Bombyx mori: one gene and its partners. The protein of the gene in region 1 binds, or shares a complex with, the protein of each later gene. Links are inferred from orthologs where the notes say so. Each region holds a gene or a part of one and is shown in the gene's direction. Other genes may lie near its edges.

Region 1 (10,337 bases):
TTAGGTATAAATCGACATCTTCACCGTCACTACAAAAATACAATTTTACTCTAAAATTATTCTCTTCATATATACATAGTTGAAATAATGAAACAAACTTCAGTAAGACTTTGTGAAGTCGTCACCATTATTTCGCTATTTCTGTCACATAAACGTATTTTTTACCTTTCTTTTAGTCTAGCTTCCGCGTGATAAATATTCTCGACGCCAGCCGGCATGGGTAGCATGACCTGACTCGACATTTCGCCTTTCAGCTGTGAATATTATACGAAACAAACGTAAGATACGCATTATAGATAAGCCATTAAATTTATTCGACTCTAAAAAAATTGGTCAGTACAAAACAATAATGATCAATGAATAGGTTTTATTAGAATAGGTTACACGGGCATTATTTTAAATTCATTTATACACATTGAACACAGACGCGTTTTGTACATAGGGATCGTCAAAAAAGAAATATTAGCGAGAAAAATAACTGGTGCTAAGACGTCATGTAGGTGCCAACAACCTGCCTAATTCTGCCACGAAGCAGTAATGGGTTCGGAGTTGAAGGTTGGAGCAGTCTTCGTACTACAGAATTGAGATTTAGAACTTATTTTTCAAGGTAGCGACATTTACATTCTTTATGTCCAGGTGGGCTGTGAGCCGGTTACCATCTAAGCAATTTACAAGTCCTATAGCATCGAAAACAATAAAGTAATCTTGTCAAACTACTCGTGACCGGGAAATATTCTGTTCCACAAACACAATTATATCCCAACCTGATGCATTAAATTCCTTAAATCATTAACATGTCTCTTCATATCGTTTTGCACAATTTTAGGCCATCCCTTTTGATTCTCTGGATTACAAAGCATAGGCCCTATTACTTCATCGGCCAACACGCTCAGATCCATCAGAACGTTACCTGACATTTCACCTATAGTTACTGCCTGAAAAGTCAGAAACGAAAATTCATCATCATCCTCAGTAGTAGTATAGGCTGAATAAAGTAATTAAATCCCAATTTCATCGGATTTTGTGATGTTCACATTAACCCAACTGACTGAAGCTACAATTTTCTTGCTATATATGTATGTCGGAATTTCCTCAAGAATATTGTCTCCAACCATGAAAACCTTGTTACAGTGCTCAGGATCACTATAAGGTAGTCAAAAAGAAAAAGTACCCGCAAATACACACTACGGGTCTATTTACGGTGGAAATTTACTCGTACTCGCTTTTTGTAGAGCTTGTGCGGAACTAGATATGTCCGGGTAAGATTTTAATTGAACACAACTGAGGTTCCGTCATAATCACGACACTTCATTATAATAATAATAATAATACAGGCCTAGTTCCGGTCAACACTCTCGCTTGTTTCAAAACCGTTCAAGGCACGGAATAGATAACCTTGTGTATCTATTCCGTGGTTCAAGGTAACCATAGACCTTTAAAGGTAACGTACTAGGTTAAAACAATCCTGGTGAGAGCTCACTAAATAATATTTTAATAGTGTAAATTGTCGCGCACATTTAAAACAATTCGTAGCCATAAATAATAAATAAATAAGTACCTTACGAAAATTGGCTTGTGTTATTTTATCGTCAACATTTCTTAGGAAATAAACCATCTTTCCCCTGCTTATAGGTGGAAAACTTGTCGAACATGTTAGCATGCCAGCCGTGTTCATTCGAAAGACTATTATGTCATATTTTGGCATATCAAAATATCTAAATAGAATATGCTGAAATTAAACAAACAATTTATTGCATAGAGTGGTGAATGAACCTGGTGTTAAGTGCTCAAGTAATCAGGTTATACAATTTTCTGAATTGCATTTTCATCAAAATGCGTTAGTAATTAAATTATCTAATAAACATATAAGAGCTTATTAAACCCACTCTTTCATCTCCAGTGATGAACTTAGCCCACTTGTCTGCCTTTTGCTTTAATGTCTTCAGTAGGTATTCACTCATAAACTCCAGACGAGTATCGACATCTTCTTTCTAAAATGAGCAACCAAAATAAAGGTTACGTGCAAAAAAATCGTTTTCATTTTATTTTATTTAAACCTTATTTTGTTGATTTTCAAAATTAACATACGTAAATCATTTAATCTATTTATAGTAATATCCATAGTTTAACCAGCCCATTCTTAATTAAAAATTAAATAAACGAGTGATCTCTTGTTGTTTCTATTTGTTGTGAAAAAATAATTATTGTAGGCTAATCTAATTTTGTATTTCCAAATATCCATAAAGTTCTTAAAAATAACCTGTTACTCTCTTTTAATTCATTTATTTCACTATAATTTCAGGCGCTTCAAATACTCCACAGTAGAAATGTGTAATGTTAAAATGACAATGAAGCTGTAGGAGTTGAACAAGAGACAGCATACTGTGCTAGATTAGCCCGTGACTGCACTATCTAAGGTTAAATCGCAAATCGTTCCAGTCATTGGAACATCTTTGCTGAAAAAAATCCTATAAATTTGGCTTTGGGTAGCCCATTGGGGAAAAAAACGCATACGTGCAACATAATATGCTTATACGTTTTTATTCTTATGGTATACAGGCCCTTATGATATTGCAAAATAGGCTTAATTTACTACTTTTTGTCAGTTCAGTGTCTATTGAATATTTATCGCCAATGTCGACAAAGGCAAAATAATTATAAAAATATCTCCTCCTATTTAATTAAAAATAACTTCTATTTTCACTTACATCTCCCATGACTAAATTTGACTCATAAATTAACTAGATAACATTCGTTATACTTTCATTTTGCGTAATTAAATAAGAGATATTTGCATACAACTCAAAACAATCGATCGATATTTAATCAACAAATTCGTAACCATAGCAACCCCGCCGTAATTTAAATTTTACAAACAGTTGAGGTTTTAAAATAGTAGCGATGAAATGTTAAAAATGATCACCTCCTTTAATTTTAAAGAGAAATAAACAAATAAAATAAAAATATTAGGTATAATGATTTTATTAAATTGAAATTGAGCCTTCGAACTCAAGCTCAATTAATTAAATTGTTCTGGTGTTTTGTTACTCAAGTGCAGTGCCAACATCCACATTGTGATGTCAACATGCTCCAGTAAGGTCTCAATTGCATAGTGGCTGTCCCAATCCAAACGGGAAGGCATGAATCACTTTTTTTTCTACCTACGGTGGTATCGTTAGAGGGTTATGCCAGCGTCACTGAACTAGTAGGTGAGCTCACGGGGGTCTAACCTGAGGACGTTACTAACAATAACCCAACAAGAGCAGTACTTCGCAGAATCAACCAACGGAGCGGAAACGCAACCGACTGAAAAGGAAAACCGGCGAGAAACTCAGTGAGCTGTGTCTGTGGGTTAATTTACTTACCGAACCCTTCGTCGCACGCGACGGTTTCGATGACCGGTGCTCGAGGTACCTAAAAGCACCTACTCAGGAGGATCCAAAATGACGTGCTTAAGGCGACGTCGACTGTTTCGGTCCGCAAGATCGGGTATGTAGTTACCAGCGGCCACGGCAAGAGGGTTTTCGTGTCGAGCCGCTTTCTCAAAATGACGCACCGATTCTGACTGTATACACCTACTGATGGAGTCTAACTCCATATCGTCGTGAAGATCCACGTTCCTCATGAACCACGGTGCTCCAACGGCTATCCTGCAAAAACAGAATTGGATGATTTGAAGGGGCTTCAAAGTAATTCGAGCCGCGTGAGCGAACACTACACTTGCACAGTTCATGACTGGACGTATGCAAATTTTGTATAATGTCATCTTATTACGAAAGGACAATTTACTTTGCTTGCAAATCATCGGATAGACCTGCACAAATGCGGCAAAGAAACAAAGGCACTGGATGTAGCTTCTCGGGATCTTCCAAAAAGTCTCAATAAATAACCACTATTTTACTGAGACAATATTTCATCCCATATCATCTCATCTCATTTCATTTTATTTCGTTTTCATTTCATTTCATGCTATGTTTCTTAATAATCAACTTCACTTCATTTCATAATATCATTTAACTTAAAAAAAAGTTATCATTTATATTAACATAAGACTTGACCTAAAGGTCTTAGTAACCAGGTCATAAAATCCCTTAAAAAAAAAAGTTTCGCGCCAATTAAATGTGTTTGGGAAAGGTAAACTTGTCAGTGACGATAAAATTAGTTTTAAATTTAAATTAAATAACATATAACGGGTTAGTTAGGTTGTGATTTAGTAACATGGAAGGTTTTGATGATCCTGGTGTATTTTTCTCTGATAATTTTGGTGTAGAAGAAAACGAATCTCAAGATCATGTTAATTTACAAGCAGTCAAAAAGAAATTCAAAGAATTCATGAGACAGTTTCATACTGGAAACTTCAATTACAAATACAGGTAAAAAATCGTTTCTTAACCAGTACCTAGCATAGGATTTCAAACTAAACTTCATTCCTTGATACAAATTGTAGAGATGCCCTCAAACGCAACTATAACCTAAACCAATATTGGGTCGAGATAAATATTGAAGATTTGTCTAGTTTTGATGACGTTCTTGCTGAAAAATTATACAAGAAACCAACTGAACATTTGCCTATACTAGAAGAAGCTGCTAAAGAGGTATTAAGACAAGTTGTTGATACATAATATTATGGTATAACTAATTATTTATTACTCCTTCAATAAAACTGTGGATAGTTTGACAATGCACACCCACTTAAAGAGACTTGTAACATTAAATTGTTTTGGACCAAATTATTATATAGTAAAACTTGAATACAGTGTATATGAGCTGTTAAAATCCTTACATAAAAAATTTAAAGGTATTACTAAACAAAACTATCTTTAAACTAGATAAGGAGTAAATAGGCTGAGTTGACTAGTTTTTTTTGAAGTCTAAACATCATACACGAGAATGCCACCATCCACCTGGAAATAAAGCTATAGTCATTATCATACTATTTTCAATCACACTTAAGATAAGTGTAACAACATTCTAAATTTAACCTACATAAGAAAGAGACTGTTTTGAAGTCGTTGTGACCTAAAAGATAAGACGTCCGGTGCATTCGTGTTGAAGCGATGCACCGGTGTTCGAATCCTGCAGGCGGGTACCAATTTTTCTAATGAAATACGTACTCAACAAATGTTCACGATTGACTTCCACAGTGAAGGAATAACATCGTGTAATAAAAGTGAAACCCGCAAAATTATAATTTGCCTAATTACTGGTGGTAGGACCTGTTGTGAGTCCGCGCGGGTAGGTACCACCGCCCTGCCTATTTCTGCCGTGAAGCAGTAATGCGTTTCGGTTTGAAGGGTGGGGCAGCCGTTGTAACTATACTGAGACCTAACAACTTATATCTCAAGGTGTGTGGCGCATTTACGTTGTAGATGTCTATGGGCTCCAGTAACCACTTAACATCAGGTGGGCTGTGAGCTCGTCCATCCATCTAAGCAATAAAAAAAAAAAAAAACTTATTTTTTTTATAATCTGTTAACCTCTGCTTGTTTTGATATGCAGCACCTAAAGGTTGCAATCAACTAATGTACATTTTCCAGTTAGCTGATGAGTTGACTGCACCGAGACCAGAAGGTGAGGAGAAAGTTGAGGATATTCAAGTGCTTTTGTCATCAGATGCACATTCATCAAATTTGAGGGAGCTTAAAGTAAGTTAATATTTATCTAGTTATAAAATTTAAAAATAGTAAACAGATTCAAATTTAATTAACATTTCGTTATGAGCTTGTCTATACATTTAGGTTAGTAAAATAAATGTTGATTATATGACAAAATACAAAATGAAAAATTTTGTTTAGTCAGAAACTGTATCAAGACTAGTGAAGATTCCTGGTATTGTAATATCAGCATCCGGTATTAAAGCAAAAGCCACAAAAATATCCATACAATGTCGCTCATGCCGCAATGTTATTCCCAATCTTCCTGTGAAGCCAGGTCTGGAAGGATATGTCATGCCAAGAAAATGCAATACGTAAGTTAATTTCATTAAAGTATCCCAATTTTAAAAATAGTATGTTCTTTGGGACCACTAAATTTGAACCTAAAGTAAATATTCTCTATTACTGAGTCATACCAGTTTTGATTTTAAGCCACTAATCTTATGTTTTATTATATGAAGAAAAAGGAGAATCTATGGAAGAAAGTTTCTCAATTACTATACCCTGGTTATATCTTGAGACTGCTCTAGATAATATATTCCCTAAACTCATTCGTGATTTATCTTCATTTTTGTTCTTTCATTTACACATTTCATGTTTCAATTTTCAGAGAACAATCTGGACGTCCTAAATGTCCTTTAGATCCATATTTCATTATTCCCGACAAATGCAAATGTATCGATTATCAGGTAATTGTAGTATTAAGATGTCATTATGTAAATTACATTACAATACTTCTATTTATAACTGTCAGAAATGTTTTGAAATGCATCATATTAAAAGTATTAATGGTTTAGTTTAGTGTGCACATGTGAATATCTTAGAAATAATAAGAGATATAAAAACAGTGATTTTCAAATTAATTTACAGGTGTTGAAACTTCAAGAAGCACCAGAAAGTATTCCACAAGGAGAAATGCCAAGGCATTTGACTGTATACTGTGATCGTACATTATGCGAACGTGTTGCACCAGGCGCACGAGTCACGGTTTTGGGGATTTATTCTATAAAAAAGATAGCAAAAGTAGGGGTTAGTACTGAATATGACTATCATTTAAGAATGACAGTAATAATAATTATGCCAATGATTTTATCAAAACTTCGAGCCTGCGAATTATTGTAGTTCGTGATTTGACATTTACAGCGCGAGGGTCGCGACAAAGGCTCCGTAGGCGTCCGGTCATCGTACCTACGAGCCGTAGGGCTCACCGCAGAGGAAGGTGTCACTAGCGGCCTGAGACCCTTTACTGCAGAAGAAGAAGAGCAATTCAGAAGACTCGCTGCCTCTCCAGACATTTATGAAAGGATCGGAAAGTCCATTGCTCCAAGTGTTTTTGGTGCTGTTGATATGAAGAAAGCTATCGCTTGTCTGCTTTTTGGAGGTAACAAATTACAACAAAACAATGAATAGGTTGTATTGGAAAAACTCTTGCAAACGAAAGATGGATGTAATGATTTCATTAATGCAACAAATATTGTTTGCATGCAATGTAACACGAATACAATGTATCAATAATAAATTTCTATAGAAAGAGTGGCGTTCTAGAGGTTGTGCTATCATATACTTTGGCTCTCATTCTGGAGTTATTAAAAAGGCAAAAAAAAAATATTTGCCTTTGTTACTTAAAAGTAGGATAGTACCTCATTACCCTTTCATTCTTAAGAGTGATTTCACAACCCGTACAATTAAGAGTGGCTTAAATGTTTGTAGAGTATTTTTATATTTCTGTTTTTTTAAATGCACCCTTAGATCATATGTTCTTCATTACTAGTTACTCCATGTCTACTTACAGGATCTAGAAAACGCCTACCGGATGGCCTGACTCGTAGAGGAGATATAAATATACTTTTACTTGGAGACCCTGGTACTGCCAAATCTCAATTGCTAAAATTTGTGGAGAAGGTTGCCCCGATTGGCGTTTATACCTCAGGGAAAGGTTCGAGTGCAGCAGGTCTCACCGCTTCAGTCATTAGAGATCCTGGAAGCGTAAGAAATCCTAGTAATTTAATCAGAATGCCCAAACACATTCATTCTGTTTAACCTGACAAGAACTGAACAACCAACAATCCCAATTCAACAATCAATAATTCCCCAACAATCGCTAATTATCAACTTTTTAAATTATCAAATGACTACTTTGCTATTACTCATTCTTACATACTGTTACTACATACATCTTGCTCATTTCAACTCTAAAATAATTTTGCATTCTAATGTAAATTAGACGTTATTTCTATTGGATTTATTATTGAGGTTATGCATTTTTATAAATTACTACAGTATCTTTTTTCTTTTATCATTAGCGTAACTTCGTAATGGAGGGAGGGGCTATGGTTTTGGCTGATGGTGGTGTTGTTTGTATAGACGAATTTGATAAGATGAGAGAAGATGATCGCGTCGCCATACACGAGGCAATGGAACAACAAACTATTTCTATTGCTAAGGTGAGTTCATATTACCCTCTTATCCTAACTAACAATTGTTTATTGATCATAATAAAAAAAGCAGATGCAACTCAACACTTGCAACAGAACTCAAACTTCTAGAATTACTTTTCGTCCTTATAACCAGTTTTGCTCATTGCTCACAAAAAGAATTTCAACCTGTTTCATTATTTCGGTACATTTTTATTTATTTATTTATTGCTTAGGTGTATGGACAAGCTCACAGCCCACCTGATGTTAAGTGGTTACTGGAGCCCATAGAAATCTACAACGTAAATGCGCCACACACCTTGAGATATAAGTTCTAAGGTCTCCGTATAGTCACAAAGGCTGCCCCACCCTTCAGACCGAAACGCATTACTGCTTCACGGCAGAAATAGGCGGGGCGGTGGTACCTACCCGTGCGGACTCACAAGAGGTCCTACCACCAGAAAAATATAAATACAAAATTATACTATATTGCTTTATTTCCAGGCGGGTATCACCACTACATTAAATTCTCGTTGTTCTGTCCTGGCGGCCGCCAACTCTGTATTCGGACGATGGGACGATACTAAAGCTGATGATAACATTGATTTCATGCCAACAATTTTATCCAGATTCGACATGATTTTTATAGTCAAAGATGAACATGATCAGAACAGAGATATAGTGAGTATAGCCTATATCAGTTATTTCAGAAGCATTAGACCATTAATAATGCCATAGAAAATACATACTAGCACGCGCTTTTAGTAAAGAGACAGAACAATCTTGTCCTTGCCCTCCTCAATCTGAACAAAAAATGGTGTGTACGCTGGTAACGAAGTAAAATTGTTGTGACGTTATATAATTACTACTAGCTATTACCCATGTCTTCGCTCGCGTGTTCAAACATTAATGTCGTTGTAGTTACCCGCGGGAACGAGATGTTTTTACATGATAAAAGGTAGCCTATGTCACTCGCCTAGCCTAATACTATCACATTAAAAAAAAAACATTATTCCTCTGCTTCGTTTCTACGTGATAGAAAGACGTTTGGCTTTCTTTTACACTTTCACTTTTGAAAATCTAAATGTGATTTATAAACTCACACATGTATGTCTTTTTTAAATACACCCTTGGTGTCTTAATTTTTTTTTAATTTGTGTTACTCTCTTTAGCTCCGCCTTCGTGGAGTCTAAACATTTAGCTCTCTTTTTGTCTACGTAACATCTTTCTACTTCAAATTATCGTCCACCTTCCACGTCCATGACTAAGAATTTTACTTTTAAAAAATTGTGTAACATCGATGCACGTGCACAGCAACTTCATCTCGCGTTTAAAGTACACTGTTCCCTGTACTCACCGAAAAACATATTACAAAAAGAAACTAGTACGTAGGTATTAATAATATATTATTAAATTATAGAACTTTAATTTAATTTATTTAAAATTATACACGTATAGCAATATTGACGATCAAGTCTTTTTAATATAAGGACCGAGTCACAGCGGAATGGCAGCGGCCGACGGCTGTGTCGCAACCTTTTCAAACTTTTCAAGCGATACTTTTAAGTGTATAGATAAAGTTTAAAATTATTTTACACTGAATGTGATCGCCGCAGCGCTGCCATTCCGTTGTGACTCGGCCCTAATACTCATGCTTAACGGCCCTCGGCAGACGCTCGCGAAGCACATAATCAGCGTGCACATGGGCGGAGAGAGCAGCGAGCGTGCGGCGGCGGCGGGCGAGCTGCCGCTGACGACGCTGCGTCGGTACAGCGCGTACTGCCGCGCGCGCTGCGGGCCCCGCCTGGCGCCGCCCGCCGCCGCCCGCCTGCAGGCGCGCTACGTGCTCATGCGGACCGGCGCGCTGCAACACGAGCGACAAGCCGACAAGCGTCTCTCCATACCCATCACCGTTAGGTATCTTTCATCCTACATTTAACACCAGAATTTATTAATACTAGTGGTCCCCTATTTTTTTTAATTTTGATTCGAGCAGCCCTTGATACCACAGTGCACGATGCTCTGCACTCAGCTGCAGATAGGAACAAATGGCGGTGCATTATAAAAAACAAACTGTTTCAAGGCCATGACCACAACCCTCAGTAATGAGGAAACCGACGCAAGGAAGATGAGTGGTCCCCCGGTAGTCGAAATTCGTCTATAATTAATTAAAATTATAAATACACTATTACGATTCATCATAATAAGATTAATAATTTTTGTTTTTTATGTTTAATTTATGTTTAACGGTATTATTTATTTATTGTAT
Region 2 (10,508 bases), on another chromosome or scaffold:
ATGCCATAAACAATCGGATTATACACAGCGTTAGCTTTGGCAAAGAGCGATCCCCAAATGGTGGCCAGAGGACTGATCGGGGCGCTTTCAAACACCCCTGTGTAGTTTATAACCAAATAAGGTGTCCAAGCCATGAACCACAAGGAAATTGTCATCAATGCCACCTGAAATTTTTTAAGTCATTATAATATACGAATTTTTGACAGTATATATATATTATAAATATATATTTACTAACAATCACGCCACGTTAACTGGTCCCGTGCTAAGTTCGTAAAGAACTTGTGTTACAAGTACCAGATAATGGAAATAAATGTAAGATTTTTATTATACACATACATATTACTATATAATATAATATACATCCATAACCCTGGAAAAGACATTTTATATTTATCATACAAATATCTTCCCTTGGCTGGATTCGAACCCGCGACCCCCTTGTGTAGTGAGTATGTCACTTACCACTACACAAAACGGCCGTTAAATGTTTGTTGTTGTTTAAGTTTTATGTGTGACTACAAAGCACCTACACTGTGTCGTGTAATTACAGTACCTTGGCGAGTTTGCATTCAGCGCTGGTGTTGGCTGCTTCAGATGATCTGAGAGAGGCGACGTTCATTTTTTTCGCTTGTTCCCTCATTGCTTTTTCGTGGGCAGCTACGGCCTGTAATGTTAAATTATTTTTGTCTGGACGTTTAATTGATTGTACAATTATCAAAGCGCCAGAACATGCTATTTTACGGTCCTGCACGGGGGTTACCATTGCGCTGCATCTTTTCTCAGCGAAGTAGTCATTAGAAAGTTTCGAAAGTAGCCGTTGTTTCAGTAGAAGACGTTCTATTCATTTGATGATTTGATTTACCAGGTTTAAGACTAGACGTCAGTTTTCACGCTAAGGTGTTTACAGGCTCAGCTAACCATATAACATCTGACGGACAGTAATATTAATTGCCTATCTCAGACAATAAATAATATACTGATGAATAGTGAAACAAACCTGCACAATGAAGAAGTACGAATATATGATGAGAAGAAGTGGGGCGAAGTAAACAAAAACGGAGTAAATAAGAATGTAACTGCGGCTAAACCAATCTTTAGACAGGTAGTCAGTACCGCATGCAGTCATGTTTCCTTCAGGCACATATCTGTAAAAACAAAATATTTTTGTTGCACATGCATTTTACGCATTGAGGCAGCAGGCTCAAGGCAAATTTAAAAAAGTCTTTTGAGCTGAGCGATATATACATATTATCAGTAATGCGTTTCGGTTTGAAGGGCGGGGCAACCGCTGTAACTATACTTGAGGCCTTAGAGATTATATCTCAAGGTGGGTGGCGCATTTACATCGTATATGTCTATGGGCTCCAGTAACCACTTAACACCAGGTGTGCTGTGAGCTCGTCCACCCATATAAGCAATAGAAGAAAAAAAATATTATATATTTTGTATTTCATGGGCACTTCTGTGGTCTATTGAATTGCAATTAATTCTGAAGTACCTCAAGATCAGTTTACGCACCTATTCCAGCCAAAGAAGGGTGCAAGAGTCCAAGCTAGCGAAAATGCCCAAATTCCAAGAATGCGTAGAAGAGCGCCGTTGTTCGTCATTGGTTTTGCCGCAATGCCCTTCACAATAACATTATAGCGGTCGAAAGCAATCATTGTCATCGTCCAAATCGAGGCACACCCAAATAATGAACCGGCACAAGCATATAGCTCGCATGCAAAAGGTCCTAAAAGGAGATGATGTTTAATAAATTTATTTAAAAACAAAAACTCTATTCGCAACATTTTTACTAACCGAAAACCCAAGTTTCATTGTAACAGTTAACGACCATCGCTGGAGACATAGCACACATCATGAGGAAGTCTGAGAATGCCAAATTCACTACGAGAAGGTTTGATGGTGTTTTAAGGCTCTGGAAAATAGTACATTTCATGAGATAAAATCGATCTACCGACGTAAAGTTTCGGCATTTTAAAAGTTATTTATTTTCACAAACCTTTGTTGACATGAAAATGTAAATGACCATTCCGTTACCCGAAATTGATATGAAGCCAAGAACTCCGATTGTGAAGCCTAATAGGGCGTGCCATAGTGGGTTCATAGGTGGAAATTGGTACCTGAAATGAAGTCGTTGAAAAATGATCACTTTAGTTTACGAATTGTTATTGCAATACAACATTGAATGATATTTAAAATAAAATATGAATTAACAACAAACCAATGAGGATCGACCATGTGTAGCATATCAGGTGGTACTTTATCGACAACGGTTTGGTTAGCGGCTCCGTAGGCAGCCACTTGACCACCCCACGCCTGGAGAGCTGCCATTCCTGGTCCAGGATCCAAGGAAATCATTTTCGCACTATTAAAGTTGACTACGTAACCTGAATGATTAAAGTGAAATTTTAGGAAATAGTAATCTAAATTCAATTACTTCCAATTCAATTAAAATAAAAATAACTTGTCATTTTTTGCTCACAAAGAAGGAATGTGAACTTTAATTATGTATTGAAATGGGTATAAAATACTGAAGGAAATCATTAAATGAACTTCAGATTAATTACAGTAAACCGATCTCGTGGTGCGAAGTGTGGCAGGATTGCCGAGGCCGTGGAGGCTACTCGTCTTTACTAGTACGGCTCTGTTTTATATACCTAACGAGGATTAATGTTGCGTTGCAGGAAAATCAATATTCATAATAAGATATACGATGTCTTAGAAGGTGAATATATTATTATCTTGAGGGTGAATTTTACAGGTTTGCATTTACAATTGAAAATGATAATAATAATGTATGATATAAGAAAGTTGTATTTTCGGTTTAACCGTTTAACATAATATGTTTAAATTAAATAATTAATATTTCATGCTAATGGAATAAAAAAAACGAAAGTAGATTTTATTATTCCAAATTGAAATAATTACTTTACCTACATTCTAATGTGGAAAATTATCCGTCTTAGACATAAAATATATGTTAATATAATAAAATATATGTTATATATTAAATTAAAAATTAAATACTAAATTAATAATATTAAAATAATATTATATAATAAAGAATAAAAATAATAATTTTATAACTAAAATATATTATTAAAAGGAGTCCCTTTAGGCAAGGTTCCGAAGATACTGACAGCGAATTAGTCTAGCTATTCCCCCTTTGAATAGCTAGACTAATTCTTTGTCCAAGGTAGCTGCCAGCTCTTCGGTCTCCTGTGGTGTCGACTAACCTTTTTGCTATTTCCTTAAAAAGCTTTATAGCGCTAGGATCCCACGGACCAAGGGTCTCGAGACCGAATGGAACAAAAACATATTCCGAGCCTAGACCCTGTATTTGCATGCTTTGGTTTTTTGAGCCGCTTCACAAGCCGCACCAGCTTTATTGTAGGTTCCATGTAGATGGGAAGGGGCCAGCGTGTCTGAACAGGTTGCATCCCATACCAACACCCGGCCCATCTTCCATGGAATCAAACTCATATCGTCCGGTCTCTTGCCGTCGTCTCTTGCAATACCAGTCGGCTCAAGTAGACTTGGCACGTTGGCAGTGGCAAGGGACCGGCGTATGATATAATTAAGTGCGGCATGTCGCGAGAAGCGGTCTGCACTTTTTTGGCAAGACAGTCCGTGATGTCCTAGCTTGTCGACATCACTGCCACAGGGACATTTATGAGGAACACAGACCGGAACCCCGAGCCGTACACAGGTTGCGATTCGGAGCGTGTCAGGCTCAAGAAATGTTCCTGTATTTGACGAAGGGTACGCGTGAATCCAGTAGCCGGCCTCGTGCGCACCCACAGCCAAAAGCCTAGCACGCGCCGAACCTGTACTACAGCTCAAAAGATTGTCATATGTCAATTTGCAGTTTATGTCGTCCCAGCTCTTCTGTGAATTTAGAGAAACTGGAAAATTTTGACGTGGGCATCCAATTAAGAAAGCGTTTCTAGCTTCTTCCAAGCCAGCAATCTCAAAGTTTTTTACTTATGAGATTTGCTGAACTATGGACAAAAGATAGGAAGGCTGGTAAAGCGACACGAGAAATTTTGCGAGTCCCTAAACCACCAAAACGGATGGGTAGGGATGCATGGGTCCAAGTTAGCTCGTTTAGCTGCATATTAAGAATCGATTCTAAGCCATTTTTGATTAAAGTCTACTTGTGTCAAAAGATCTGGGTGATTCCAAAAAGAGCAGCAATGGAGCACATACGTAAATTTTGGAACGAAAAAACTAAATTTTAAGATGCAAAGTGCTTAATGTGGACTAATTTCAAGGAAACGGTCAGCAGAATTTTGAAATTTAGTAATAAATTTAGTTATTTATAAAATAAACTATGTTTAAGTGCCGCCGTTATAGTACGGTTGATATTTGCAAAGTACAGCTATTTGTAAGTACAGATATTTGTAAGTACAGCTCTGTATTACTGAGGTAATGTAGTTATGCGACTTCAAAGAAGCAGGTTTATGTGGCTAACAAGATTAAATGTCTTCGCTAGTACGTACGTACATTATTCGATACAAAAACTGCAATTAATTGTTTAAAACAAACTAGGTGTGTCCCGCGGCCCACGGCTCTATTTTAAGTAAAATTTAGAATGAATAATGTAAATGTATTTACGGGATGGTCAGTGTGCTTGTACCAAGCACATGTACAACAACTTTCAGTAGTAATGTCCGAAGTAGAGTTCATTGTTCCATCCACAGCTCATTTCTAGAAATAATTCTAGGATGAACTCTATAGCAAAGTATTTCTGAAAGCTATATTCAGACGAGTTTTGAAAATAATATGTAGTTTTAAGTGGGAGGCGACGCACTCTTTCATAGTGTCAGCACTGGCTTTTCTCTTCTGAATATCGACTTTTTTCGTTTTCTTGCTCTTCATCCCTAATTTTACTAGTAAGATAAGGCTTGCTGTAAGCCTACTAGGATGGCTCGAGCACCCATTACTACTGAGACTTCCACAACATGAAGCAATAAAAAAATATTTAAAAATATTAACCATTCAACCCTTCAAACCAGGATGATGATTGGTTTGCACAAGAAATAAACAAGATGGTATGGCGGCTTATACTAATTTTATTACAGCGTTCGATGTTATTCCTTCACTACTAAACTTTGTTCAAGAACACAGTGGAGAAACATACTTAACATACAGGAACATTATCATTTGTAGAAATCGAACTTGATATTAAATATCATCGAGACTCATAGCTGCTCACTCACTCTTCGTAGTATTACTTATGATAGAAATAGATAAAACATTGGTTCAAACTAGAGGTGGCTAATATAACCAATAACCAATAAATTTACCGGTAAAAAAAATTAACACTTCTATTCGATAAATAAAATTACCCAAAACGGTTAAAAATACCGTTTACCAAACACACTGCGTGTAGTGGCATAGGCAATTATTGGAAATTATATTTATGCAAGTTTCAACTTTATTTCAACACGTAAGATTCATTTTCGCCTTGCAGATGTCTTCAACTTATCATGTAAAAAATATTGAATTTTATGATTTCATTGTATGCTCTATACCCCTCAAAATAAAGCACAATATTTAAGTTGGTGTATTTTACAGTTAATGATAATTTTTTTCGTTAAAAAATTGAAATGAAACGATATTTTTACCGAACGCGAAGATGACGTGATTGGTTGATTTTTTAAACGTAATATTTTGTTTGGTACTTGACATTTTGGTGGCTCAGTGCATCTTTTCTATTATTTTGGTAAAGTTGTGTTTTTGTATTTTAAGAGATTTGTACTTTGTGTTTGTGTGTTTTGACTTTGTTTTTGTGTGTTTGAGACTTTGCTTACTTTGTTGTTGTGGATTTTTAAATTGTATATCTAATTTAAAATGCCGAAACGCAATGCAGAAATATGGGATCATTTCGAAAAGTGCTAGTACCATTCAAGTTTAACATTAGCAAAATTAATTTTTCAACGAAAAGATTTACCGGTATTTTCAACCAATAAAAATATCGGTAATTTTTTTTATCAATTACCAGTTAACAGATAAATAAATTCAACCGTTAACGCCATCTCTAGTTCAAACCAACAAAGTTTTAAACAAATAGTAAGCAAAAAAATCTGTGAGAAAAAAAATTACATTATTTTACCATAAACTTATTATTTCAATAAAGGTAGTAGAAATAAAATCCCGTGCTATTCAGAAGAAAAAAAAAATTAATGACAATTGAGGTATGTCATAAAGTAACAATTTGTTTAGTACAGAAAGCAAGACAAAAATACAGAAAATTTTAATAAAAGAAAAAGATAAAAGAAAAAAAAACTATGATTGTAATGTAGTGAAACATGAATGCGATTATATACTCTTTAAATTTATAATGAATTGGTAAAAAAAGCTCTTTAGAACCTAAAAAACACCAGAACTCAAATTCGAGTCGTGAAAGCTAGAATAATATCATTCAGTGACAATCTAAAGTTGCACTAGAATTCTGTGGGTATATATAATTTAGAAGAATATGGAGTCAACCGAAGAGTTGCAGTTCAGTGATGATGAAGAAGAAGTAACAGCTGAGACTGTTTTAAAAACACTACAAAGTGCTTGGCAAAATGAAAGATTGTCCCCAGAAATACTCCCTCATCAAAATGACATGGTAGAATGTATGTTAGGTCAAATACAACACATGGAAAGAAACATAAATAAACTTTCAAAAACTGATTTGAGAACTTCTATACACAAAATGGAGATTAGCAGAATTAAATTTATTATTTGTAATTATCTTAAAACTAGACTGAATAAGATTGAAAAATATTGCATTCCAATACTAAACCAAGAAAGACAAAGAATAGAAACTGATACTAATTACCTAACACCATCAGAATATAAATATGCTCAAGAATATGTTTTGAACATGGAAAATCATATGAAAAATGTGGTATTAAATAAAATGCCTGGTAATATGCAAGTCTTTGAAATGAACAAAATGGCAGAACATCCTAATTTACAAACGCATGTATTCCTTAAAGCCAATGAAACCATTAATGGGGTTGTATTAGAAGACTTGACTGGTGAAGATGAAGAAATTGACTTAGAAGGTTTGTTATTGATTTTCTCACAACTGAAACACATTATAGGTTTTCTTTTGTTATACTTTGATAGATAGAGCAATACCCTTGTTGGTTTAATGACCTTGACTATTGTACCACAGGATATCACCTATATCATTGAAGTTATCATGACTTAAATAATAATATTATGGTATATTGAATGATTTGATTATATATGTCTTAAATTGAATCTAATTCTGTTTGATTAATCCACAAAAAAGAAATAACACTATGGAAACAATAAACTTGCCAAAATAAAAATAATATCCCATAATTATTGGTGGTAGGCCATATGGGAATGTGTCACCAATTAATTAGTCTCTGCCATAAAGCAGTCATGAAGTTTGAAGAATGGGGACAGTCCCCATACTAGACAATGGAGACTTAGACCTCATATCTCAGGAGGTATTCACTTTTTATAGTATTTATAGATTTTGGTGAACATTTAACATTGTGTATGTCTGACACATACAACACTTCTGAACATACATTATGTAGCAATCTCAGAAATAAAAAAAAATCAAACACAGTGAATGATATTTACCATAGGAGTTAAAATCTTATACTTTTAAACTAATCTAAAGTGCAAAGTTGTGCTATAATTAAAATTATTATTTTTTTTAATTAAAACCTTGAGGCAAGAGTTCTAAGTCTCCGTTTTATGACTCAGTTAATGGCTGCCCCAACTCTTAAACCAAAACGCATTACTGCTTCATGGCAGAAATAGGCAGGGTGGTGGTACACATCATGCAGGCTCACAAGACACCGTACCACTAGTGAAAGTGTAAGTAAGATGTTAAATGATAAAGCTGTAATGTAAAAATGCTTGTAATTACCTTAACATTTCAATTTAAAGTCTAAATTTTATTGTAGGTATGTAGCCCAACCATATACTTACACCAGTAAAGTCAAATTTATTAATTTCGTAGGTTTGTAATTGCAGTAATGCTATCTATATAAATACTAAGTTTATGCATTTCCTCAGAAAACTAGGGAATGTCATAGAATTTTAAATCTGAAATAGCAGTAGCTATCATAGGACAAAAATTGAGCAAAAACTGAAACCATGCAAAAAAAAATACAAGAAAAATCTAAGATATATAAAAGTTTCAAACAACATTTGGACTACTGGCTTCACAAGAAATAATTACTGCTCTGTGGAAGATTACCTGTTCATGATTTTCACTATACTAAATGTTAACTTGTTAATAACAGCCACAAGTTTTACTGTATTGTTTACAATTAAATTTTTTTATTTAAGTAAAAATCTTGCTAAAAGTGTGGGCTCAGACTAAGAATAAATAAAATGCAGTATAATGTCTTTAATACTACTTATTTCTTTCAGAGGGCTCGCAGCACATCTTGCAATACAAACCAATTGCAGATCTTTTAAAGAACGGGAAAGTCACATTGTTATGATAGTAAATTTTCTGTAAACACTTTGTATTTCATTTATTTTTAAAACATTTGTAGCTAGTTTAATAAATTAAACAAAATTAATTTTTACTTTCAGTTTATTGTAAATTAACATAATAAATATACAAGGTAAGTACACAATAAGTACTGAAGTATTATAATCTCACAAAATTTAAATATATTTCAAAGTTACAATTACTACTTATGTAAGAATAGACAGTTGAAACATTAAAAAACTACAATGTAAATTTATTTGTAATTATATCACAATATTTTTTCATAAAGCACTTATTTATATTTAAGTTAAATCTGACAGCTTACTATTTTTCCTTACAAAAATATATCTGGAATTTGGATACATTTTATTGGCTAGCTAGGCTAGGTTAGGTTATAATGAACAGCACCTTACTAGCAGATCTTAAAATTTAAACATTAATCTACATATATTCGATAAAAACCTTATTATAATCAACATATTGTGTAATAAGTTACTTTTTTGTATGTTGCCATAGTAAAATGTACATTGTACAAACATAAAGCAAAGATACAAATTTAAAAGATTGCTTATAAATAGAGTATTAAATATGGACTGTAAATAAAATAATTTAAATACATATATGTATAACTAAATAAGTACTATGATTATTATTGGTAACATTTAAAGCTTCCTCATTATTTAAAAGTAACAGAAATAAACTCTTTGTGAAAATAGGTATATGTAGATAAATAATTTAAACAAATAGTTCGTTATGACCCTGTAAATGTGAATTGGACTAAAGATATCCATGCACTATTAATTTAGAGACACGACGTGTACTTTGGTGACAACCGTTTAAAATAGTAATTTAACAGTTGTGGTGGATATAATTTCTTACTTATCTATGTTAGTGTTACCGGGACTTTATAATATTCTTAATTAGATATAAACATCGCCAATGCTATTATCAAGTAAATACGACATTAAAAAAACCTACAGCAAACAGTGGGAACCTGTGAATGTTGCCTCAATTAAAGCTTCGATCTGACGTTTTAAGGCGGGCGGTAGTTTCTCGTCGAGGGTATTCAACTGTGGAGTCTATGGATACTTGTAATCTTTTAAAACCAAGTGTATCTCGAACTTGGCTGCCCAGCTATGGCAATGTATTAATTTGAAAGTAATCTTGTACCAACGAATTAAGTACCATCAAAATTTAAGTAACACATTAAGTACATCGTACATAAAACCGGCTTTCGACTCGCCTGTTGTTAAGTAATTATTTGAGCTCATAGACACCACAACGGAATGCCGCCTGCCACTTTTTGGACTGAAGTACCTATCAATTTGTAATGACGATTATGACAAATAGGCGAGTACGTGTGTTACATAATATTAACGTTTCTGTTACGTAATAAAACGTTCAGTTATTTCGTTTTATCCTGGTCGTCCGCGTCGACGTATTGTATGTGTTGTGCGTGTGCGTCCCGCGCAAGTTCTCTAAGGCTCTGCTCTGAGGCGGGACCCAATTGTTTAACCATTTTCGAGAAATGCCCGTTATCGTTCTTAAGTAGCTCGTAAGGGTGGCCACATTCGACGATCTGGCCTGCTTCCATGACCTACAAGCAAATGTTGAGCACATTCATAAGACTGGCACAGCCATTAATAATTCGTTGTTTTTCAATTTGTGAATACGAGTAGACGAAGTCACGACAAGAAGGATATTAAACAATAAATCATAGCTCTTAAACTTCACTACGTGAATTCAGATAGAAATCGCCTTTGAGACACGAGGTCAAAATCTCACGTTGATTCTAAAAATTATATTCGGATAATATATATGTTGTTAATAGCTTATCTATTTTAAACATTAGTTAATCTAGCATATGGTTGGGATTGGAACAGACTCCGAGCTCGGCAGTTTGAAGTGTTGATTGGTCAATGCTTATAAAATGGACCGTCCATTTTTTTGTTGCAAATAAACCCTCTGGATACTGCACATATATATACAAAAGCCAAACCGGTCAAAGCGACGGGCT
Region 3 (10,150 bases), on another chromosome or scaffold:
AATGTTAACTTGTTTTGTAATTAGTTTGAATTGTGAAAACGAGTACCAGATGATGATATTGTCGATTGGTTGATTCTATCATTGGTATGTGCATGAACCAGTCCATTCTATCTGAATACAATGCAGGAACCACCTGATATAAACAAACACATTAGATGTACCCATGTAATCCTCAGAATTTATATGAGTGATGGTGTTGTGAGTGAGGTCATTTGAGGACATCACTAGTTGCATCTAGTGATGTAATCATATCACTATCTAATCTATTCAATAGCTTGTTCTTTTATTATACATAGCTACATAGGTTATTGATCTGAGTGAGGAAGTTAAATAAATAATTTTAGGGATATCAAATAAATAAAAACAGTGTAAAATGTTATGTATTGATAATTAAAACAACATGAGCTAGAATTGTCAACACATCTGGGAACAGTTTAACAAATAATATTTTGGTAGTTTTAGATAGTTTAGAAAAACAAATAATTATCAGTTCTAATTCAAATATTTAAAAATAGTCCCTAGTTATTTATATTCAAAGAAGGCTGAAACAGTTACATTTGCACTCATAAGTATATTATTATATACTTGATCATGATTACTAATTGTATTATCAATCCAATCAATATGTTTTTCAAGCAATTAAATTTGCTCACTTTGATCGTCTTTATTCAAAAAAACAAATCCGCGCAAAGGAAGTTGTAAAATGTATAAATGATTTCCTTGTTAATTTAAATATTGGAAGAATATCAAGTCTTTTTCACTGCTATATTTACTAAAACATAGTAGTGAATATTTAGTTTATGTATATTTAGTCTATAGTTTCACTGAAAACAAAGATATCAAAGCATATGGCCCACCTGATGGTGAGTGGTTACCATTGCTAATTCACATCAGTAATGCCAGGGGCAGAGCCAAATTGCTTCCTGCCCCTGAGTATTTTCTATAAATCTTGTCAACCAACCTTCCAACATTATAAGGCATTTGAGAAACATCAAAGAGAGGAGTTAATTACAAAGCCAGATGGTACATGCCAGAAAATATCTCCGGAAATGCACTGTGGATAAACACAGTGGTTCTACACAGAGTGGACAAAGGCTACTGCAATGGCGGGCAGTGCATGCAATTTATTCATTACAGAATTTACAACATATCATGTGCATATTACCGTATTAGGCTACAACGCTTTAAGTTCATTTTTGTTACTGTACTGATAAACATTTTTTTAAATGAAGTTTATGTTATTGTACCCTGTTAAAATATAATTGAACTAGCAACTTTATATCAATATATTTTAATATGCTTTATAAAATGCTAAACTACGAGAATTAACGCTTTAGCAAAAAGTTTAAAGCTTAATAAAGAAACATGATAAAAATTGGTTTTATTTAACTGCATGTTAATTCAAAATAGATTTATTAAAATAGACGAATGAAAGGATATAGTAAGCACCTTAAACGTAAAGTTGCTATTTCTCTCATTTATTTCACTGAACACAGGGAATTTCTTTTGTTATAGTTCAAGTTTCATCATGGTTTTAATAAGAATACATATTGTAGTTTAGGTCTGTTGACTTATTACAAACTGTATTGGCTGGGTAAGATTGTCATATTAATTTTCTTGGTGAGCTGAGGTTCTTGCACAAGTATAATTTGATAAAATTTCCACATTAACAATGTTTTTTTTTTAAATATGCCCTTCGTAGGTAATTAATTGACTTTAACAACAACAAAAAAGTAATTTGATAAATCTCAAAATATATTTAAAAATCTATCATTAAACTAAAAGGTAAGCAAGGAGTGTTTCTCGAAAAAGTATTTAATAATAGTAGTAGTGTCAAATCAAGTTAACAATGTTGTTTAAAATTATAGGGAAAAATTTCATGCACAGACCCCAAAAAGCCAAAATGAAGAATTTTTGTTGTTGTTGTAAGAGTGCGTGGAGTATAATGATTTATACATACGTGTCTCCGTCCTCGTCCTGTTGGAACAGTAGATACAGCGGAGGAATGTCTGCGGTACTCTGTGCAGGACTCTGAACACTAACCATTACTTGTGACAGCCTATCCGTAATGGATTTCACTCCACTTTCACCTTCACTATTCTTTTCATCATAATCGATCATCCCTGAATCGATATCATTACTATCACACGGTCCTGATATTTCACCAGTAACAAAACCGGAATCAGCGTACTCGTCCTCGCGCAATTTCGTTTCGGAATCTTTTTTGGCACTCATTTTTGGTTCAATTCTATACGACCGTTTTCAATTTTAACAATAATCTTATCGTTTCACTATTGTTTATATTACAATTGTTTATGAACACGGAACCATGTTTTGACACAAAAATGTCGCGTAATAAACAGCCTCACTACAACGAATGCGCGTGCACAATGCGTGATTAAGATTCAATGCTGGAGTATTTGTGACTACATAAGGCTGCCATTTTTTGTTTTTATTAGCATTCGTCATTACGTCACTTTCTAGAGACATGTTCGGAAACACTGTGTCATGTAAATTGTCTACAATCTACATCACTGCGTGATGATTTAATCTAAAATATTTTGTTTGAGTTGATAGATATCCTTAGCAAAAACAAAGTAAACATAGACATAGACAGTGACAATAGGTGTCTTGACTAGTAAAAAAATATCTGTTGGTTCGTGAAGTAAAACAATATAACAAAACTGTGATTTCGATAAAAATAAACTAAAACATCCACGTTTTTTTTTTTTTTTTTTATTGCTTAGATGGATGGACGAGCTCACAGCCCACCTGATGGTGAGTGGTTACCGTCACCCATGGACTTCAGCAATGCCAGGGGCAGAGCCAAGCCGCTGCCTACCGCTTAATACTCTCCACAAGCCTAGTTTGAAGAAGGACATCTCATAGCGCTCGGGAAACACCGTGAAGGGAAGCTCATTCCATAGGCGGATGGTACGTGGCAAAAAAGACCTCTGGAAACGCACTGTGGATGACTGCAGTGGCTCCAGGTAGTATGTATGAACTCTACTCCGGTGGCGGGTGGTGCGATGGTAAAAACGAGATGCCGGTATCATCTCGAACAATTCCTCAGAGCACTCCCCATGGAACATACGGTACAAAATACAGAGGGAACCGAAGTCCCTCCGTAGACCCAGATGCTCCGAAAAATTCTCTGAGAGTCTACCTTAGGGGGGTGCAGAGATGAACCTTGATAGGTGTAGTGTGATAGTGATATTACTTAAACATATGTGTATATATAACATACATAATATTTATAGATACAAAAACTCGTACTTAAATAAATACATTTACATAAATATATATGTATAAAATATATATAAATAAATATTATCAATTAGATGACTCTGATAACTCTCTAGAAACAGTTCTCGAACCCTCATCTTAAACGCTTCACGTGTAGTGGCCGACCTTAGAGAACCGAGTCAGAACTATATGGAGGACAGCGAAGAAGAACATTGTGAGATGAACGAAGATTTCGGCTGTGGTCAGACCCTAAGTATTGAAAGGAAGTAGTTAAATAAGCAGGTGGATTTGGGGAATGCAACAAAGAGTAAAGAGTACCGAGAGCACGCAAGCTACGGCGTTGTCGAATGGGGAGCCATTTAAGTTGGGAGCGATGAGAAGATACGTGATCGTATTTCCGAAGATCATAAATAAATCGAATGCAGTTATTGAGAAGCCGGTTAAGTTTATTGAGTAGATATTATGCATTCAGGTCAAAGTAGCACACATCACCATAGTCGATCAAGGGGAAAACCAAAGTTTGAACGAGTATTGTCTTGGTCTCGGGCGGAAGGAAATACTTCAGGTGGTAAAGCATACGGAGTCTTTACGACGTTATCACGTAAAACTCTCGTCCATAAGTAAACTTTATAGACAGCTGTGGACCCAATAGAAAGAACTTAAAATTTCCATTTGGTGTTTATTCTTTCATTTTACAATTATCGACTCTTCGGATCAACAAAACTAGAAGTTGTAATTGTTTGGTATTGTGGCCACAAAAAGCAGACGAACATACGTTACTCATTGAACAATTCCATTGCGTATTATGTGGGAGGGGGAGGGGGGGGGGGGGTTAGGGCGGGGGATATTATCTTGTTGAACACCCAGTAAAACGAAGTCACTTTTTGATTCCTGATTTAATCAACAATATGATAACTTAATTCACTTTAACATTTATCCAACCTTAACCAGTACGTAAAACAGTCACTTAATCACACAATGTAACAAGGATATAGTAAGTGCACCGAGCAAACGCAGTCGGCCGGGGCACCTGGCTTATCTATGAGTCACTCCTGTTGCACGTGCTGTTTTACGAGTGGAGTGACACGGCCGGCGCACCTGGCTTGTGTATGACTCACTCCTATTGCACGTGCTGTATAACAGAAGTAACGTTAACGCCGTCATAGATATGTTACTGCTTATTATTTCTGTGTGTTAACACAACGTAACGACATTGGGAATGTCGTTGGTGTAGAGAGCGTAGAGGATCGGTGACAGGATACCTCCTTGGGGAACCCCAGCTGTGGCTGGGCGCATCCACGATTTAGCGCTCTTGACCGCGACAAAAAGAGTTCTGCCCTCCAGGTACGACCCCAGTAGTCGCACGTAGGCGTGCTGGAAGTCCGTGTTCTGCACCAACTTGCAGATAAGCCCCGCACGCCAGACACGGTTGAAGGCCTTCTCGAAATCGAGAAATACTGCCGCCATGTACTGGCGTGCGTTGGACCGTCAAAAGGTGCATAACGCAGACCAATTGCAGCGTTGTTGAGTGACTGCTACGTATCCAGAATTGCTCGGGTCTGAGAAGGATGTGCGGAGACACTCTTCTCACCAGCAGCCGCTCGAACAACTTGCCCACATACGACAACAGGGTAATCGGACGATAATTGGAGGGCTGTCTTCTGTCCTTCTAAATTCCCGGGAAATATCCTGTAGACAGAATGTAATTAAACAGCCGTGTCTTAAAAGACACGACTGATTCTAGAAAGTGGAAAAATGCAAGGGTGAGAATACCGTCCTCACACAATGCCTTGCGCCTCTTTATCCGCTTGATAAGGAGGCGCAATTCAGCGGGAATGATGAAATCATCATGTCCCAGAGGTGGCACCGGGAGGTTAGTTTGCACGTCGAACACTTTGTTGAGTTCGACGAGTACGGTTATCAGGGTCCCTAAGTCTGCTCCTAATGTTAAAGTTGAAAGCGTCTTTGCAAGAGTAATTGGATCTGATGGTCGACCCGATAAGGAGAGTGAGATTATTATTGGCTGTATTGCTACTAAGTGATTATCTGTAAAAAGTTACTTGTATGACTTAGCTCCCACTTCTAGAAAATTTTAATATCTTAAGATTAGGTTTTGGTATTATAGATTTAAAGATCAAGGCTTCTGTGATTTTCGAACTCATCCAAAAATGATGCGTATCCGATCATAAAATGTCAAATTTACTATCTGTCACAGTCTTGAGCTGTCACTCATCAAATTAATAACAACTTTCGCGCCAATGCCAAAAATGTTTTTATCTAAATTATTAAAGTATTTTGTTTGTTATCTCTCTCATTGTTAAGTAAATAAGTAACACACAATGTTCGCAGAAAAAGTTATAGAACTAATTAAAGAAGTAGATAGAAATCCTGACACAATAGATCAATATAATGTAAGTTGGATGTGCCCATCTAGGTATGGGATTGGAATTAGAATAAACTTGTTATATCTAATGAAAGCTTTAAGTTACTATTTAATACCGAAACCAAGATTTTATCCGGTTGTCATCTATTCTGTTTGTCTATGCATATGCACTATAAAGTCAGAAATCCATTTAGAAGTGACAAGTATATTAAATTATTGTTATAGCACCGCCTATTATTATTTTTGTGTCTTTTAATCTTATAAAGTACATAGTATTTCACATGTTACAGGATGAAAAAATACGCCAAATAATAGAAGAAATGCATTTATTATTTAAATTGAACATGAATGATGCGTAAGTCACTGGTTTTCTACTAATATAACTGCAAGTAGTTATTGTTCAATATGCAAGATTTGCTATGATCACTTCTATTCTGTAACCTCCTATTCTGTTTCATGTGATGCAAAAGTGCTCAGGTAACCTTGTAACTCCAGGAAGGTCTATTTTTGTTTTTTTTTGTCAATCTATTGCTACTAACCTCGAGGGGTTATGCTAGCTTCATGGGATTTGAGGTAGCCCTGAGATCTCTCACCCAATTATGCAAAAAAAAGTTTTATGACTTTTTTGTTTTATAACTCTTCACATTCAAGCAGTTTGGATAACTTGCCCAGCAGATTTGATAGCTTTACTGGTTGTGCTTGAGTAGCACAGATATCTCACCCAGCAGATTTGTTACAGCACTACGGTTATGTATCTGCTTAAAAATACTTTAGTGGACAGGCTTGGCTTCAATTTCTAACCAAATCTTAGCTCAGCTTATTGAGTTTTTTTACAGTGTAGTTGTTTTTTAATAATAGTACTAATTATTGTTTTTGGTATATAAAAAAAATAGAGAAATGTGTGTTTGTTTGTTGATCTTAAAGTACTTTTAAAATGTTTCTCTAATTTGGCCAAAATCGGTCTGAGTTGCTGGTCCGCACAAACGAAAACGTCATTTAGTGCAAAGGGGTTAATATTTTCATGCACTTGAGTCTCATGTGGTGTTGTAATAAGGTTACCTGCTATTAGTCCATTTTAATTTAAATTTCAAAAATATGTAGTTCAATTGCTCATCAAGTTCATTTATAGAAGAAGAAGATAACAACAAACTGTTTTATGATTACCGCTTGTATTAATTGAATTACTATTTTTAGTAATGCTACAACAGAAAACAGATCATTGTGGACCACAGTTCAAGTAAGACATTCTGCCCTTGAACGCAATAAAAGGTGTATATTAGCCTATCTCTACAACAGAATGAAAAAAATTAAGACATTACGTTGGGAATTTGGTGCAGTACTACCTCCAGATATCAGAGAATTGCTTTCTGATGATGAATATCAATGGTTTTCAAAATACTCTGGAAATCTTGCTTTGTATATGAGATCTTTAGGCCAAGATATAGGATACAGTGGCATAGACTTGACTGAAAATTTAAAGCCCCCTAAATCATTGTTCATCGAAGTGCTTTGTGTTGTGGATTATGGTAAATTAGAACTTGAAGATGGTGATGTGGTTATGCTTAAGAAGAATAGCAGACATTATCTTCCTACTTCGGAATGTCAGACTTTAATACGACAGGGTATTCTGAAACAAATAATGTGAATTTATTTTATCAATAGTGAATTTTTGACCATTTTATGTTTTAAATAATATTGTGAAAAATAATGTTTGATGTCTGTATGGAAATAAATTTTATGAGAAGATTATTTTTACCATAAGCTTAGTGATTTGACTTGATTAGATTTGCACCTCCTAATAAAGCAAGTGTGTGTCCATTTTTTTTACTATCCCTGATGGGTGAAAGAGCAGTCATAGTGGCCTAAAGAATATAATGCTTGCTGTAGTCAAATCAAATGATGCAACAATCAATATCATCATCAGCCCCGAGGTCTCCTAATATCAGACTTCAGACTTAGAACTTTTGTTTAGGTGTGTGGCAGCATTTGCGTTTTTGATATTTACGTGCCCTGTTAATGAGCTGGCATTGAAAAAAACTATTTTCTCAAAAAAGATACAGCGCAGTTTTTTTTTTTTTTTTTTCCTACCTATGATGGTAGCCTTGAGGGCTCAAACCTGATGACGTTGCTAACACGAACCCTAGCAAGAGCCGTGCTTCGCAGAATCTACCACCGGATCGGAAACGCGACCCACTGAGAAGATACGGCGAGAAACTCAGTGGGCTGTGTCTGGGAGTTAATTTACTCGTCGAGCCCTTCGACGGGTTCGACGAGAACGGTGACCGGTGCTTGAAGTACCTAAAAGCACCGTTAGTGGATCGGGACGATCCGAGATGACGTGTTTTGGGCGACGTCGACTGCTTTCCATTCTGTCCGCAGGATCGGGAATGTAGTTACTGGCGGCCACGATGAGAGGGTTCTCGTGTCGTGCCGCTTTATCGAAGTGGCGCATCGACGCCGACTGAAGATACTTACTGATGGACTCTAAGTCCAGGTCGTCATGGAGGTCGACGTTCCTGACGAACCACGGGGCTCCGACGGCTATCCTGCAAAAACGGGATTGAATAATTTGGAAGGATTTAAAGTGAGTGCGGGCCGCGTGAGCGAACACTACACTTGCATAGGTCATGACGGGGCGTATGCAAGTTTTGTAGAGTGTCACCTTATTTCTAAGGGACATTTTACTTCGCCTGCATATCATCGGGTAGAACAGCAAAGATATTAATTTATCTAGCATAGAGGCAGGCACTAAAAACATCCACAAAACTACAACTAAAACCAGTCTGCATTTTCTCTGTAAACTTCGCTTTAACTAGGTAATATTACAATATTGCATGATCTATTTATCAACCAAACACTTAACCAGTCTCGTAAAGTTAAATAATGGATAAAGTTGCAGCATTAGAAGTTCAGAACAGAAAATGTGCAATGAATTATTAATATAATAGGTATATTTATATTTATTACTAGCTGACCCGGCAGACTTCGTAATGTCTCAATCGATAAATAAAATACCTAAGCTTTTATATAAAATAAACTTAAAACAAACAAAATGAATCCGTCCGACGGGGGACACAGAGGAAAAACAAAATTGTTATTTTTATTTAATACCGAGCATTTTTATATTTATCTACCTTTTAAACCTTTACATTAGCCAAAGCGGTCCAGCCGTTCTCGAGTTTTAGCATAGACCTATATAGTAACTTCAGTGAGTTTTAGCGAGACTAACGAACAGTAATTCATTTTTATATACAGTCGACTCTCGTGAATTCGAAACTTGAGGGACTCATAAAATATTACGAATTATCGAATGTTTGAAATATCAAATGGTTCGAAATTTGTGAGAGAAAATAAATAAAACTTCGAATTACTAAGTATTGATCAATAATTATTTATTAACTGCTATTCTATAACAATGAATAGTAGTTCTTTTCCGTACTCCAGCAGTTTGAGCAGAATTAATTTTCTCCTTGTGCTTTATTATGGTTGAGAGAGTACTCAGAGGAATCTTAAATTCTTTTGCAACATCACTTTTCTTCTCACCTTCCTCTACTTTTTCGATTAACTTCTTCTTTTCAGCAATCGTCAAACATTTATACTTTCTAGGACTCATAATTAACACAAACTTTTAATCTGCATACCAACGAAAGACTAACCGTAACTGAAACATAACTAAACAAACCAATTCGTGGGGAAGTGTGAGTTTAACTAATCATAACAATAACAAAGGCTCGTGTATGTTGATACCGCTGTAGTAGGAAACCTATAGGTCTATGGTTGATACAAGTTTGAAGTTGTCGCAAAATGTACTTACATTACAATCATTCGACCTCTTTCTCTCTGCAACTTTGAATTGTCCAGTGTTGGACGCCGATGAGTTCGAATTAACGCGTCGTTTTATTATATAGCAATGATTTTTCGTTCGAATTACCAAGTGCATAAAAATGTATTGATTTAGTTCGAAATATAAAGAGATTTTGTAGGGAACTCGTGATAACTTTAAATTATAGAGAGGTTCTAATTATCGCAGGTTGGAATTAACGAGAGTCGACTGTAGGTATATAGATAACACACGTAATTGCGACGTGATAGTAGCAAATAGTTTTGTAAATTTTGTTTTCTTGTAATGTTTTCGGTTTTCGCGCGTAGACATCATTATTATTACTTAAACTAATATAATTAATTTCACACTTTATTTTATTTTCGAATTCCGTTCTGAATATTTTACAATATAATACAAACCGTTAAAGAGTTATATGTAGGTATGTTTAATTATTTCTTACCCCTTAGATAATTTAGTCATATACGTTTTATACCGTAGTACAGAAATTTGACTGGTAGTAGAAATGTTAGGTACGGCGTGATATTAACCTTGATGGACTTGTATAACCACCCAAAACATAAACAGTGGGTTTTTCAGCTCGAATATCTAACTACGGGTCACAAAGAAACACAGGGATTCCCAAACAACAGCAGATTAAAAAAAAATATACTTATATTTTACAGTCCAACTCCATCTGT

The links.
Region 2: DNA replication licensing factor Mcm5 (region 1) and DNA replication complex GINS protein SLD5 share a complex: the UniProt entries of both Homo sapiens proteins name them as parts of the CMG helicase complex. The link is inferred for Bombyx mori from reciprocal best matches to the Homo sapiens genes MCM5 and GINS4.
Region 3: DNA replication licensing factor Mcm5 (region 1) and DNA replication complex GINS protein PSF1 share a complex: the UniProt entries of both Homo sapiens proteins name them as parts of the CMG helicase complex. The link is inferred for Bombyx mori from reciprocal best matches to the Homo sapiens genes MCM5 and GINS1.

The regions. Positions count from the first base shown.
Region 1 is NC_085131.1:8,495,878-8,506,214, reverse strand, and holds the start of DNA replication licensing factor Mcm5, read left to right. Parts: upstream 1-4,109; 5' UTR 4,110-4,218; coding exon 4,219-4,373; intron 4,374-4,447; coding exon 4,448-4,595; intron 4,596-4,608; exon of another isoform or gene 4,609-4,904; intron 4,905-5,537; coding exon 5,538-5,645; intron 5,646-5,795; coding exon 5,796-5,968; intron 5,969-6,264; coding exon 6,265-6,343; intron 6,344-6,524; coding exon 6,525-6,683; intron 6,684-6,797; coding exon 6,798-7,035; intron 7,036-7,446; coding exon 7,447-7,640; intron 7,641-7,957; coding exon 7,958-8,098; intron 8,099-8,572; coding exon 8,573-8,749; intron 8,750-8,947; exon of another isoform or gene 8,948-9,119; intron 9,120-9,740; coding exon 9,741-9,985; intron 9,986-10,337. Other genes in the region: dynein beta chain, ciliary, read right to left, coding at 1-29, 166-254, 765-935, 1,559-1,729, 1,887-1,991, 2,709-2,717. UniProt on the Homo sapiens protein: Acts as a component of the MCM2-7 complex (MCM complex) which is the replicative helicase essential for 'once per cell cycle' DNA replication initiation and elongation in eukaryotic cells.
Region 2 is NC_085121.1:9,241,519-9,252,026, forward strand, and holds DNA replication complex GINS protein SLD5, read left to right. Parts: upstream 1-5,293; 5' UTR 5,294-6,490; coding exon 6,491-7,067; intron 7,068-7,749; coding exon of another isoform or gene 7,750-7,772; exon of another isoform or gene 7,773-8,424; coding exon 8,425-8,498; 3' UTR 8,499-8,518; downstream 8,519-10,508. Other genes in the region: opsin-1, read right to left, coding at 1-164, 557-667, 1,001-1,148, 1,522-1,735, 1,804-1,921, 2,006-2,126, 2,228-2,393, 5,150-5,156; ATP-binding cassette sub-family C member 4, read right to left, coding at 9,897-10,088. UniProt on the Homo sapiens protein: Required for correct functioning of the GINS complex, a complex that plays an essential role in the initiation of DNA replication, and progression of DNA replication forks.
Region 3 is NC_085118.1:17,158,795-17,168,944, reverse strand, and holds DNA replication complex GINS protein PSF1, read left to right. Parts: upstream 1-5,455; 5' UTR 5,456-5,585; coding exon 5,586-5,657; intron 5,658-5,919; coding exon 5,920-5,984; intron 5,985-6,823; coding exon 6,824-7,274; 3' UTR 7,275-7,390; downstream 7,391-10,150. Other genes in the region: cact (cactus), read right to left, coding at 1,961-2,235. UniProt on the Homo sapiens protein: Required for correct functioning of the GINS complex, a complex that plays an essential role in the initiation of DNA replication, and progression of DNA replication forks.